Alligator mississippiensis: one gene and its partner. The protein of the gene in region 1 purifies or fractionates together with the protein of each later gene. This does not show direct contact. Links are inferred from orthologs where the notes say so. Each region holds a gene or a part of one and is shown in the gene's direction. Other genes may lie near its edges.

The links.
Region 2: the proteins of UBE2O (region 1) and EPB41L5 purify together in Homo sapiens (affinity purification with mass spectrometry; 3 studies listed by BioGRID and IntAct, counting the BioPlex papers as one, with this or other methods). This does not show direct contact. The link is inferred for Alligator mississippiensis from reciprocal best matches to the Homo sapiens genes UBE2O and EPB41L5.

What each region holds. Positions count from the first base shown.
Region 1 is NC_081831.1:13,954,431-13,961,890, reverse strand, and holds the start of UBE2O ((E3-independent) E2 ubiquitin-conjugating enzyme), read left to right. Parts: upstream 1-4,452; 5' UTR 4,453-4,476; coding exon 4,477-4,875; intron 4,876-7,460. UniProt on the Homo sapiens protein: E2/E3 hybrid ubiquitin-protein ligase that displays both E2 and E3 ligase activities and mediates monoubiquitination of target proteins. Negatively regulates TRAF6-mediated NF-kappa-B activation independently of its E2 activity.
Region 2 is NC_081827.1:248,597,219-248,604,706, reverse strand, and holds the start of EPB41L5 (band 4.1-like protein 5), read left to right. Parts: upstream 1-4,478; 5' UTR 4,479-4,663; intron 4,664-4,674; exon of another isoform or gene 4,675-4,843; intron 4,844-5,157; 5' UTR 5,158-5,162; coding exon 5,163-5,342; intron 5,343-7,488. UniProt on the Homo sapiens protein: Plays a role in the formation and organization of tight junctions during the establishment of polarity in epithelial cells.

The sequences.
Region 1 (7,460 bases):
CTTGAGTTCACATATCATCCCTGCACTGGGGTCAGGGACAACACCTATCCATAGACCAGGAGGACACACATTAGTAAATCAAGTCTTGCAACCACTGCTTTGTATCAGGGATGTGTTTTACTAGGGACGGGCTGTTGATCCACCAAGAGATGAAGGCCAGTGTTTCCAAAAATAACCGCTGATTTAAAGGTGTGTCTATTTTGGGTGCACAGTTTTACATGCTTCACTTTTCAGAACTGCTGAGTATTCACTACTGTAGCTGAGGAAACTGGGAGATCCAGGGCTTCACAGATAGTCTGAATTTTTGGCACAATTTGGGCATCTAGAATGTGACACAATTAAAATCAGCCGCTATTTCTTTTTTCACCTGAGTTCACTTGGCAAGTCATGGGTAGATTTGAGAACTGAACCCCAAATTCCTAAGTCTTACTACCATGGTCAACCTAATAGAAGCTGTTCCTTCCTCCTATCCTGTGTCCTTCCATGGGACAGAAAGCCAGCAGCAGTATGTCAGTCTGGAGAAGCAGCTCAGATGCTGTGCTACTGAGTCTAAAACCAAAGGTGATCTCTTTACCAACAAGTGAAGTGTGCTTCCATATGAGAGTACCTCAGAGCCACAGTTAGGAGTATAGGGAAGAAAATAGCTCTCACCTGCTCTGTTCCTGACAAACAAATACTCCTGATTGGGTTCCATTAAAACGCCTGTGTTGCATTTCTGGTGAACAGTTTCATCTCCCCATTTGCATCATACGGCTATGTACAACCTGAAGTCCAAACGGTGTTCTACAGAGGGGAATTACTCTGAATACCAGGTAGTTCCAAATAAACTCATGATTTATGCCCAGGAATAAATTATTTTTAAAAGCAGTGTTGGTACAAGCTGCAGAGAGAAGATGGAAAAAGCCTGGGGACTGCCAGAATGCTGCCACATAAAATCCTTTTCTGTCAACGATGGAAAGAACGTAACCACTTGTTCTAGTCCAAATTACCCAGTCCAGCGGAATCCTAAAGATCCTTTAATCCCTAAAGACTCGCTTCTGTTTCCAGTGACATCAGCCTGGTTTCAAAGGACACAGTATCAATGGCCAACCACCTTGCCATTGCCTTGAAGGTGAAGTGGCTATGCTGAGAAGGTGACCAGGACATGCAGACAAATTAGTAATCCCCTCCACTTCAGCCCCTTCCCTAGCACCATCACAGTGGAGTATCGCACATGAAGCACCATCAACTTCAAGTCGGGCTAGAGCGTGTTTTATCACTGAGTTTATGCCCACTGTTCCTCTCCCCTTGTGAGCAACTAATTAGTGGCTGTTACACATCGCTGGCCTCTATGGTATGCAGATAATGGCTTCATAGTATTAAAAGCACTCCTCACCCCTATTCATGAATGTTTTATCTCAACCTGACATATATAAGAGACTTAACATTTCTTTCTTGATTGATGCTATCCTTTTCTACCCCAAAAGACAATGAATCCTTCCACCCACTGCTCTGTTTCCAGGTGTGAAATCACAAAAGAAGCCATGATTAATGTTGAGAGATGCTCTTAGAGGCAAAATAACAGTGTTATAAAGCTATATCCTTTCCCTTATACTTAGAGATTAGGCTCCTAATATTTGGTTCTAGCTTTGCCAAACCTAAAAAGGAGGAAGAAACGATGGCTTTGTATCACCTTTGCAGTTTCCTAATTTTGAGACAACGGGGGATCATTTTATCACCACGCATATGCTAGAACAGTCCAAGAATTGATCTAGCTTCTACCTAGAGATTCCCAACAGCCCATTCTGGCAGCTGAGAACAGAAATGTAATACCTTGGCTTGCTATATCCTTTTCACTGATCTGACACTGCACGTGGTTGTAACTCTGGAAGATTGCTGGGGAAGTCAATCACGTCACTCCATATTTACCCTAGTCTGACTTGGAGTACAACATGAATCCTTTAAAACACACTTACATGCACAGTTGCATTCTGTCAACACAACTTGTTGGCATAAAGTTGGGAAACACACAGCCACTCTTTGGACTATGGGTGGATCTTGTCCCCCAGAGTCAAGGGGACCTGGAAATACGAGGGAGTATTTTTGCTGGTACTTGATTGCATTGCTGGATTTCTTTTCCTTTGGGAGAAACCTTGGGACTAACAACCATTCACTCAAATGGAAGAGGTCAAGTAATGGGCTTTGATCTGCAACATAGTGAGGAGCAGGTAGTAATGTTTGTGGCCTTTTCCACGGGATTTCATTCAACACACTAGGATCAGCCCCTAAGAAAATTCTGTCTCTTGTAAACATGAGTTTTACCCAAATTCCAAGAGGGACATTGTCAACCATCATCTTCATCCTGGAGTTTGAGGCACTATATTAGGTGCTCTGGGCCTAGGCCATGGAGTGGCTTGAAATTATTTGTATCTTTGGTCTTCTTTGCAGCCAGTGGAAATGCTCCCCTTAGGACACATGGGCCTGGCAGATTAGGCACTGCCTCAGGAGTGAGACCGGGTGGTGTTCTTTGTTTTGCAGCTGGTCTGGTGTCCAAGCTCTAGATACCTCTGCTTCTCCTACTCCTTGGGGCTCACGTACAGTCTATGGGTCTCTGAGACCATCTTCAGAGCAGGGCTGAGGATGAGAAAGGTGGCTTGAAACATGTTTAATCTACAGTTACACACCAATGAAACTTCCTCATCCCCTTCTCTTCTCCCCACAACAGAAATGGCCTTGCCCCTAAAGTGAAAGTTGAAACTACTCCATATCCCTCCCAGCTCATGAAAAACAGCATTTGAGGAGCCTCTCCCTCCCTTCCCAGAAGGAAACAAAGGAGCCGTGCCAGGCTATCTCCAACTCAGCTGACTTAAGCCTCTTCATACCAAGGTGAACAGTAAATTTCTCAGTTTATGGATATCAGGCTGCTGAGCACTCCCCCTCAGCTATATCAAGGAGGATTCAGCTCGAGTGCATCTGGGATCGTGGACAGCCATAGACCATTTAGCAGGTAGATCCAGACTCCCCAGCCACGTAGGGCTTTAAGGATTAAAACTAATACCTTAACCTCCCCCTGGAGACCTGGAGTCAGCCATGCAGACCCTAGAGCAGTAGGATCACAAGCTCACAGGGAGCTGGAGTAGGGGGGTCCTAGTGCAGCAGACCAGTCTCCAGGGCAATGTGCACCTGAGGCATCAGACGCCAGCTGGCAAAGGGTCTGGGCTGGCAGAGCACATGGAGACACGGGCTGTGCACGTGGGGCTACAGGTGGGGGAAGATCAGACAGGGAAGAAGGTTGTGGAGCCCTCTTCTGCTGCTGTTAGGCTGGGCATCAGCAGGGGCACCAGGAAGTCAGGCGAGGCCTGATGAAGCATGACCAGGGACCCCCAGCACGGCGCTGGACCAGCACACGGGGGTAAGGGCACAAAGGGATGCTGCTCAGTAGGGCTGGGAGGATGCAGGGGAGGGGGGCACAGGCACACGCATGCTCAGCCCTGCCCTGCTTGCCAGCACCTAATGCAGGATGTTTGCTCCTCCCCACCCAAGTCTTGAGACTTTATTTTGCAGAGGAAAAACATCTGTTTTATTCACGATTTCCCTTTTCGTTCAGTGCTGGCTAGGTCCAGATGCGGCACCAATTTCCGAGCCCTGTGACTCCAGGGCGATACAGAGATGGCCACCCCTGCCCTGGGGAAGGGCCTGGCACAGGGCGGCTCCTTCCACAACCAGGGGGTGACACCTTTCCTCTGCAAAATGAAGTCTCAAGCCTTGGGGGGGGAGCAAAAATCCTGCACAAGAAGCCCTCCGGCACGATGGCTGCTCCCCGGGAGCAGGGGAGCCGTGTCCCCAGACACAGAGGGGACTATAAGTCTATGAGGGGCGCACATCAGGGCCTGGGGGAGCATCTATTCACCAAGGCCCCCCCAGCAGAGGACAAGATACAATGGGTACAAAGTGTCTTGACGCCCACCTTGCTGGGGCATCTGACCCCAGCGGTCTGTCCTGCCCACGTGCAGGGGGGCTGGACCCGATGATCTGCAAGGTCCCTTCCAGCCCCTAACAACTATGACACCACGAGCGAGGTGGGCAGCACTCCTCTGCCACTGACTGAAGGCAGGGCCCTGCCCAAATCCCCTCGGAGAGACGCGTCTCCCGAAGGGGCGGGCCAACATCCGGCTCCCGGTGGCGGGCGGGGCTTACCGCAGGCAGGGAGACGTCACTCCCGGGCTGCCCGCGGTGGGCGGGGCCTCGCCGCCGGGCCGTGACGCGTCTCCCGAAGGGGCGGGCTAACATCCGGCTCCCGGCAGTGGGCGGGGCTACCGCTGTCTGGCACACGTAGCGTCCGAGCAGCCCGCGGTGGGTGGGGCCTTGACGCGAGTCTCGCCGTCGCGCAGTGGGCGGGGGCCCGCCTCCAGCCCCGCCCCCCCGGCCGTGACGCGACCTGGCCCCGCCCCCGCCGCCTCCTGCCCGCGGCGCCCCCCGCTCACGCAGACCGGCGCCATGGCGGAGCAGCCCGCAGCGCCCGCGCCGGCCCCGGCCCCGGCTCCGGCTCCAGCGCCGGCCGAGCCTGAGCCCGAGCCCCCCGCCGCCACCGCCGCGCCCGAGCCCCCCGCCGCCGGCTCGCAGCGCCTGCTCTTCTCGCACGACCTGGTGTCGGGGCGCTACCGGGGCGCCGTGCGCTTCGGCCTGGTGCGGCTCATCCACGGCGAGGACTCGGACTCTGAGGAGGACGAGGGCGGCCGCGGCGCCGGCGCCGGCGCCGGCAGCTCGGGCGGCTCCGAGTCGGGCGCGCCCGGGGCCGGCGGCGCGGACGAGAGCCGAGCCAGCCCCCTGCGCCGCGGCTACGTGCGGGTGCAGTGGTACCCCGAGGGCGTCAAGCAGCACGTCAAGGAGACCAAGGTGGGGCCCGGCCCGGCCCGGCCCGGCCGCCGCGTGAGCACCTCGGGGCGCGTGTCGAGCGGGACCCTGGCGTGCGGTGGCACACCACCTGCGTGCCGCGTGCGGGGCGCGCCCAGACCGCCCGGCCCCGCGCCTGTGCCTATTAAGTGGGGACATTAGCACACATGCATGTATTTGCCTAATGCCTGCCGATTAAGGTATGGGGGCTGCACCCCAAACCGCCCCGTCCCCTCCTCTGTCCCTGTTAAGCGGGGATACCTGTATATATTTGCATAATATCTACCTACTCATCAGTGGGGGCTGCGCCCTGAGTCCCCCGTCCCCGTGTATTCGTATATGAAGTGGGGATAGTCATATATTTGTACACCACCTTAGTCTTCATGTGTGAGGGTGCACCCCAAGCCCCCTCCCCTCCTATTTGCACGTTAAGTGGGGGTATTAGCACATATAATGTATCTCCATACTATCTATGTATTTGTCTCTGGTGGCTGCATCCTGAACCCCACCCCCATCCCTGCATATTTGCATGTTAAGTGGGGGCATTAGCGCATATAATATATTTGCATAGTGTCTATTTGTGTGCAGGGGCAGCACCCTGAACCATGCTCCCCATCCCCTCATATTTACTTATTAAATGGGCCCATTGGCATATATGTATATATTTGCGTAGTATGCATGTATTTGTGTGGGGGCTGCACCCCGAATCTCCCCATCCCCACGTATTAAGGGAATGTATTATGATATATGCATGTATTGAACCAGAACCCCCCCACGCCATAGTGCTCCCCACCCTGGCCCCAATCCTGGTGCAATGTGACGTCTGCCCGTGTTACCAGGCCGGGCCCCACCCGGATCTGAAATTCACTGGCACCCCCCAGTGCTGCTTGTCTCCTGCTAAAGTCAAGTTTTGCCCCCAGGTGTGCAGCCCCCCCATGCATCTGGGCTGGCCCGGGGTGTCAGGCACGCGCGTTGGCTGCAGCCATGTCTGAATGAAAGGCACATTGCTTGGAAGCCGGTCGCTGCCTCGGTGCGCGAGGGACGGGGGGACCCCGGGGGCCGCGGTGGCCTACCTCAGCCAGCTGAGCCTGTAGGCATGCCCCACAGCCACCCTGTGCCCCAGTTGCTGGGCTGCTTTGCACGGCTGCTGCTGGGAGCCAGCGCGGCCTGGAGTCGCCGTGGCTTAAAATAATTCCTCGTTTCCTTTGGAAGCGCAGCGGGTTCCTCGCGTCTGCTGGTGCTGGTGTGTTTGGGAGGAGGGGGAAATGAGCCACATCAGGTCTCGACATGTTCAAACTTGGTGTTGGATTCTGCTTGAGTCTCAACTACAGACCGTGCAGAGTCTAGAGGCAGCCACCCCGGGCCAGCCTGGGTTTTTTGGTTGAAAATGAGCCTCCCCTTCTTTCCCCACCCAAAGATTTGAAAACTGTTAGTATGTGAAGGTGAATTAAACTGTGAAGAGGTCATAAAGGAGTTTCTCCACTCTCGGTAGAAGCCGGTACAGCGTATATCCTATATCTCCTTCTCATATGGAATGTGTGAGATGTCTGTGCTAGGCTTGACCAGCTGAAGGTTTTAGACCAGGGTGGATTCATGGATTTACCCTTGTTTTTCTCTCCAGTGGTCCTTGCTGGCAGTCAGGCCTGTGTAAAGTTCAACCCCTTTACCCCTCTTTGAAGAGCTGCAAGGCATTGCTGGAAGGATTTGAGGCCTGCTTTTCCACTGCTCCCACTTCCCAAAGTTAGCCTAGTGGTGGGATTGTTACACACAGTGACTGATAATACAGGGGAGACAAAAGAGAGGGAGAGAGAGGGCACTGTATCATAATACAAAGGGGTCTGTGATGAATGGGCGTCACGCAGAACAAAACAGAAGGCCTGTGCTGTCCTGGCAGCAGAGAGGTTGTATTCTGCTCTGTGGGGCTAAGTGCAAGCATGCGCGCGCTCTCTGCACAGTCTTTGACCTCCCTCTGTAGAATCCTCCCTGGACTTCTGAAGCAATCAGTGCATTTGTAATTCTAGTAGAAATCGGTAGGATCATAAAATGCTAATGGTCTGAGCTAAATTTAGGGTCTGTCATCACCAGGCACGTGAACAGTTAAGGCACACAATATGAAATATAGAAGGCTATTAGTACTATGCACAGTATTTCTGCATTTATTTTTCAACCCTTCTTGGACTTGTGGTCCATCAGGCAATCGTTCCTTTTCACACGAAAATTCTTTTAAAAATGACTGGAGTTAAGCTCTTAAATCAATTTTTGGCACCTAAAGCATGAAGCTTCGAATTTAGGATTCATTATCAGGGTCCTTGAGTAGAAAATAGCAGTATCCATTTTCTCATGGCACCTTTTTTTCCTCTCTTCAGTATAGGCAGAAGGCTTGGCTCTCTTGCTATGAGAAATCAAAAGAGGTTGTTTAAATTAGTAGCCTTTTTCCTTTCTCTTTTATTGCCCTATTTCCTTTGCAAAGGTCAGAGACTTAACAGATAAAATGTGTTGTCGGGGGAATTCCAAAGTGCTGAAGGAATTTAGGAAGACGTATCCCTTTGACTTCTTGCTGCCCTTCCCCGTCTGAAAATTTCCCTCTA
Region 2 (7,488 bases), on another chromosome or scaffold:
CAGGGAGCTCCCAGCTACCTGTGCCCTGCACCCTCTGTCCCAGTGCCCAGGGAGCTCTTCAGGGTGCTGAGGCACAGCGTCCCCACCGCGGACCTTAAACAGCTCTTTTTCGGCTGCCAGATGTCAGGGACAAGGCTCCCAGCAAAGTTTAATGTCCCCAGTGGTGGGAACCCTTTGGCTTCCCCACCCCTGCCCCAACTGGGAGCCTCTGATCCCCCTCCCAGAGCACAGCCAGAGCTGCCGAGCGCAGGGGTTTTGACAATCAGCTGATTGTTGGCAGGGCTGAGAGTCCCACAGGGCTATCCCAGCAAGACCTAACACATTTCATTGTCGTCTCCAGACAGACCCCAGTCCTGTCCAGGGTTGGGGCCAACAATCGATTGTGTTTGTCCAGGCCTTGACAATCGGCTGATTGTCAGCCCAGACCACACCACAGCTGATTGGAGTCCCTGGCAGGGTCCCATGCTCCAGGTGACAATCGGTTGATTATCAGCCTGGCTGGACCTGCGAGCACTGCTCTGACAACTCGTTGGTGCATGGGGGGACCTGGGGTCTCCCTGCACTGGCAAGTAGTAATGAACTGACTGAGAACCAGTAACCTGGGAATCTCTTTGGTTACCAGCTTGTTTGTAGGATAGGATTTACTTGGTCCTTTTCATATGAATATACCCCTGAATTCTCTGCAGTAAAGGAGGTATGGTACAGCAGTAGTTTTACACACTGCATCTGCTCTGCTGCTCAATCAACACTGCCACACAGGTCCACTCTGCCCCCAATGAAAGGCAGGAGCAAACCAGCTCTGGATCCAACTGGTAACCCACCTGTGGGAATAAGATTTTAAACCCTAATGAGCTTGTATTTCTCCAGGTTTTTCTTCAGGGGCTTCCCTATCCCTCCATGAAGGATCGCTAGGGTATCAGTCTCTCTATGAAGGGCCCAAATAGAGAAAATTAATTTGCATTCATCTTGCAAACCAAAGCCCGGTAGCACCCTGTGCTTCTTCTTTGGCAATACAAATGAGTCAAAGGCAGGATGACTTAGCCTGAAAGCCTCTTTCTAAACAGCTATCTGCTTCACTACATGGTTCCTATCCTTATTTCTCTGTAGATATGAATATTATTTCATGGGATGTTAGTTTAATTCCTCAGGAGTAGTCATGTGTTTGCTTTCAAGGTGAATGGGAGCTATGCCTCACAAATAAAAAAGAAGGGTGCTGAGCCATCATAAAATGTCTGTGGGGGAAGTGGTGGCTCTGCCTAAGCTGCATGCAAGTTTATTTGCAATGGTGTTACATTTTAGCCAAGGGCAGTGCTCATTTCATAGAGAAATAAGGCTGGATTGGACTTCAAGCAATCATCTAGCCCATCCTGGGATTGAACCTGCAACCTCTATGTTGTTAACACCATACTCTAACTAACTCAGCTATATTTCTAAGTAAATATACCCTTTTTCCTGCTTTCCCCCATTTAGCTTCCTGCTTCATTTTGTTCTAAGGTCATGAGCTTTTAAGCAAAATCAGCACCTGGCTGAGAGAAGAGATACTGCAAAAAATGGGGTTGGGGCTCAGACATCATGCCAAGGACCACAGAAAGAGGGGAACAGAGAGGGTTGCAGGGAAGCATGAGGGGCAGGGACAGAAAGGGGAAACAGGACTGAAATGGGCCAAGGAAATGGGAATCTGAAGGAAAGGGTGAGAGATTTAGGGCCCTGAGGGGTTGGGTGGGAGATGAGGTCTGCGACAAGAGCACGGAGGGAAGGAAAGCTCCTTTGTTTCTACCACTGCAGCGTCTTGCCCTCCTGTTTTCCAAAAAATGCAAGCTGGGGGATGAGGACAAAGGCCAGGAGACAGGGTTAGGGCTAAGTGACAGGGTTGGAGGGAGATGAAATAATTCCTCCCTGCCCCAGGGAGATAGAGGCCATGCTCCAAAGCGGCAGACAGGCCTGTATTTACATTTATTTCAAACTTTAAATGGTCACACGATAATGTGGGGGCTGGCAGCTCCCTCCTCCACTCTGCAAAAGCAGAAGTCCGGTCTGTTGGAGAGGAGAAGAGTTGGGGGTTGTCCACATGCTGGTTCTGGAGGATTGAGGGGGCTTAGCCGTGTGGATGCTGGGGTTGGTAATACCAAAGAGCCGGAGAAGGAAATACCTTTCAGTAGCAGCCCAGTGTATGCAAAAGTATGGTTTCTGCATCTGGGAAGTGCCTGTATTTGCACAGCACAGGAAAGAGAGCTGTGCATCTACCAGAATATCTTGCCCTTCGCAGCAAAGATTGTTTTGGAGATCACAAGACTATCCGAAAATGCCAAATACAAGCCTAGCTGGACAAATCTGAGCTAGGTTTGTGAACCTGTCAGGGAAAAAGAACCAGCTTATGCTTGGCAACTGGAAACAAAGTCTTATGGGCAGCCCTAAATTGTTTCTCTTCAGTGGTTGTAAGCAAAATGGCATTTGAGAAACCAGAGCAAGAAGCAGTTGATAGCAACTGTGCCCAGACCAGGATGTCTGTGCCCTGAGTCCAGTCTGTGTCCTGACTTTGCAGATATCATGTTATCCACCATGGTCTGGCCTAATGGAGAGGAGAAAACACCTTTTATGCTTTGTAGCTCATCTAATCAGAGGGGTTGGAGCAGCAGAAATCTTAGGGTCGGAAGGATATCGTGCAGAGGTGGCCAGCCTGTGGCACAATTGCCACAAGTGGCATGTGCAGCCTGTGTGTGGCATGCAGCAGATAGGGCAGAAAGCAGAGGAGGAGATAGGTCAGGGAGCGCAGAGAAACAGGCAGAGGAAGGGAATCGGCATGGCACTTGGAGAGAGGACATGGCTAATTTGTAGCACCCCTGCCAAAAAAGATCAGTTCCCACTGATTTAATCCTGGTCCCTGCACAGATACTCTTCCTAAACCATCCCTGACAGGTGCCTGTCCAGCCTTTTGGAAACCTCCGGCGGAGAAGAGTCGACCACGGCCCCGCTGCTCTGACACCCCAGATGCTTTTTCTGAGCTTGAAGCTAAATCTGCCTCCCTGCAGTTTGGACCTGTTGCTTTGTGTCCTGTCCTCTCTGGGAGAGGAGAAGAGCTGGTCCCCTTCTCTGTGGCAGCTTTGCCAGGATGTGAACCCTGCTCTCCTGAATCTCCTCCTCCTCCAAACTAAATGCACCTTGTTCTCTCAGACTTTTCTCAGGGGACCTCTCCAGTTTCTCTACATCCTTTGTAAACCACAGAGCCCAGAACCACGCGCTGGACTCCCGCCGAGGCATAACGGAGAGGAGAGCGGTATTGCACAGCCCTCCGGCAAAGACACCCCCGGCCTGCATCGGCCTGCTAGTGTTGGCTCCCGTGGGGCATCCCAGGGAGGTGGTTAGCCACATTCATCCGAGGGCAGGTAGAAGGCAAGGTAGATTTGCACCTTTTATAGACTAACCAATTTGTGCGTGCACATATGCACACAAATACATACACTTGTGTGTGCATATACATAAGGACAGCGTGTGTGTGCGCATCTGCTTGTACATGCATTATGTGTGTATAATCGCTGTCTTGCTCTCCTCTCTCAAGGTTTTGTGGATTTACAGGCATTGGTTGTTTGCAGACAGGAATTCACCGGAGTGCAGACAGGGCCATGTCCGGGCTCGTTACTGCAGAGGGCTTAATTAAAAGCCTCCGTGCACTGGGAGCTGGTTTGTCCCCACCTTGCTGGGGCTGTCATTATCTCGTTGTGTGCAGCCCTGGTAGGGGCAGGTGGGAATCGCCAGCTCCTGCCTGGGACTGGCTGGGCGAGCGAGACTTTGCGTGGGCAAGGCGGGGAGGAGATTTTTTTTTTTTTAATTTAAAAGGGGGAAGGAGGGCGGTAATTGCAATGAACCCACCTGCCTTCATAATGGTGCACCTCACATGTATAAAATCACATTTAATGGGGGGGAGGTGTACTATAATCTTTTAACAAAGTTTAATTTTATATATATCTCACTGTCCTATATTAAAATAGGAAATATTTTATTTTCTAACCCTGTGTGTGTGTGTGTGTGTGTGTGTGTGTGTGTGTGTGTGTGTATGGATACATATTATAGGGTATATATTATGATATCTTACATAGTGTGCATGTGCATGTATGTGTGTGTGTGCATATATAGGGGGGGGGGTGTAAGATATCATAGCAGGTTATATGACCTACACCTGTACTAGTATGTGTGTATACATCTCGTTTACCATCAGGAAAAAATATATACACTATGTATGTATAGTATCTATAATGTATGACACACTTTTGCGCACACACGTGAGAGTGAGTGCGAGTCCCGGTCCGCCCGCAGCTGCCGTCGCTCCGTGCACGCCCTGTGCCCCCCCCCCCCCCCAGCGCGGGGCCCCGCCCCTTTAAGGCGGCTCAGGTCGGCACAGCGCAGCCACCTCCCTCCGCGGCGACCCCTGCCCCTTTAACAGCAACGGGCGCAGCAGTGCGGCCCCACTTAAAGGCGCGCGGCCTCGGCGGGATTCCTTCCCCCCGACCCTCACGGCCTGACGCGGGCCGCTCCGCACCAACCCCTTTAAGCGCGGGGCTGGGGTGTGAGGGGCCGCCATCTTGGCCGCTGAGGCCCCTCCCCCCCGTCGTTGCCGCCGCCTCAGCCTCACGATCCGTCGCCGGGGCCTCCGCGCCGCCGCCCGCAGGTGAGTGGGCCCCGTGTGTGTGCCCGCCGGTGTGTGTGCACGCTCTGCATACACCTGGGAAGATGCTCCCGCGGCCCTGAGGCGGGTCCGTCCGTCCGTCCCGACAGGACACGAGACGTGCGCGCGTCGCGTTCCGTTTCGGCCGCGCCGCAAACGCTGCCAAACGGGCGCGGTGAGCAGGTGCGTCCCGACCCAGTTGGATCCCAACCGGTCGCTTAAAATCCAGATCGCGCACTGATATGTATATAATATGCATATCTGTATTATTATATATATATGTGTGTGTATAATTATCTCATTATATATGTGTGTGTGTGTGTGTATATTATAACATTATAAGAGATACGATACAACGTGATGATTTCCTGCAGACCTGTGTACCTACGCCAGCCACGCAGGTACATGCTTGGGTTTGGTCACTAGATTTCGTATTATCGATTGATTTTTGTTCACGGAAACGTTAACCGTCGCGCTTTCTTCTCCCTTCCCGGCAGCAAAGATGCTGAGTTTCTTTCGGCGCACCCTGGGACGCCGGTCCATCCGCAAGCACGTCGAGAAGGAGCGGCTGAGGGAGGCCCAGAGGGCTGCCACCCACATCCCCGCGGCGGGAGACGCGAGGTCCGTCATCACGTGCCGAGTGTCCTTGCTGGACGGCACCGACGTCAGCGTGGACTTGCCGGTATGAGAAATACAGCGCTGGGTTTTGTTTTAAACCCCACCGCCCTGGTAACCCGGGGTCGTGTTCGTCCCTCGTTATAAATAGGTGCTGAAAGAGCGATGCGTTCGGTTGCGTGGATTATGCCGAATGCTTTTCATCGGGGTAACGTGTGCGCGCTACGGTCGGCTCTTGTTTTGGAGGAGAGATGTTAATAAATACACAGGGAGAGATTTGTATTTCCTGTTGGAGGATCTGGGTGTGTCTATTGAGGGGAGTATTACTGCGCATGCTGAATAGTTTCTCTGGCGTTTGGTTTTCTCTTTCTTTCATATGTGTGCATTCAGATAAGTGCTGATATGCGCGTTTCCAGAAAGACCCCTCTTTATAAAAATGAAGTGATGAGAGTTGGGATTCTTTGCAGGGTTTGTTATGGGATATTGTTGTGTCCGGGATGGATCTGTCCAAAAATATTAAAGCGGCATCAAGAGCTGAAGGGCGTGTTTGGTTTGCGTTGCGGTGTGTTGGCCGACAGGCTGGACAGCGGGTGACTCGTGCCGTTCATCTCTTCTTTCCACTTGCACCGGTTAGAGTAGTCGTGGTTCGCTGGGTTGAATTTGGGCAAGCCTGGCTTCGGTGAAGCCCTCTTGGCCTCTGACTGGGTCCCAAGAGATACTGGTGTGTGTGTTTGGGTGGGAGGGATGTTCCTCCATGGCTGGTGCCCTCGGTTAGGAAGAGTACGCAGTGCAGCCACTCGAAAGACAGATGGACTTTTCTCTTGTAAACGTTCAAGGGTCTGAACTTTCCCCAGCATTGCGAAGGCTGCGTGCCGGACTGCCGAGCAGTATTGAAACGATAGTCTGGTGCGGTGATGAGAAAAGAATTCCTTTCTCCAAGAATGGAAACCCCAAATACCTGGATATTTAACCCCCCCCCCCCAAAATAATTACAGTAATATGCTCTGAAGTGACTGTATTATAGACACTTGCAGTGAACAGTAAAATTAATGTGTACAGCCCTGTAAACGTGGAAATAATCCAGTTAACATGCCCAGTACAGTTCCATGTGCAAGATGCTTGATTTGAGGCCAGAAACGCCCACGGATACTTCATAGAGGTAACTGCAAATGGAAATACTAAAGTTTTATTGGTGTCTCTACACAAACAGTGGCGGTCTTTCTGGGACTGGAGTTGGCACTACAGGCGAATTCCTGGTGCCTCATTTCAAGTGCTGTTAGAAACATAAATTGAGCTTGGAGAGGTGTCATGCTCATGATCTATCGCCCAGGCTATTAAATTTTAATATGAGGTTTTAATAGTGACAGTTTTCTCTTTAAAAGAAAACGACTGCTCCCCTTTCTTCCCCCCTCTCTGTGACTTTCCAGCTTTTCTTTTAGTCAAGGGACAACTCTGGAAAAGGTACTGCTTACAGGCACCCTTGCTTTTCAGCAAGCTCTGCCTGTGGTTTTCTGAGGGAAGAGTTAACTAAATGAGTATACGGCTAGGTGTAATATTTGTAGCTGCCATCAGACACTAGCATGAACTTTTTCTTTCTACAGCAAGTGTTTAGTGGGTTCCTTAGGAGCTTTCTGTCACTTTTGAGGATGACTTCTTATTCATCTGTGATTTCTGACACCTTGCACTTGGGCCTTAGGGAGGGAGAGAAGGAAGAAAACTTAGGAAATTCATGAAGAAGGAAAAGATTGTTACTACTAGGTAGTGTGAAAAGTGTATGGGCTGTGGGGTAAGGGATCGTTTCTAACTAACAAACAGTCTCTTTGCAAAATGAAGCTCCAGTTTCTTGTTGCTTCTCCTCTTGTCCTGGCTGTGGCCATGGCTACACTAGTTGTTGCCCTGAGACAGTGACCCTGAAAGTAGAAATCTGGAAATACCTGCCTTGAAACAACTATACTGTATGTCCTTAGTTGTTGTTGGAAAACTAGAACCAGGATAACATTTCCCACGTTAGGGTAGATTCATTTCTTTATTAGTGTGTATCAGGTGCTGAGCTCTTTCTTTTGGGACAACTGGAATATTCCTGAAAGAGCTGGTCCATGTGCCAGTGGCATTCATTTTTAAGACACACGCCTTTCTGTGGCTAGAGTTTGGGAAGCATTTCACTACTCATGGGCCTGATGGTCAGACCTGGACCGTAAGGGAAGCATGCTTCT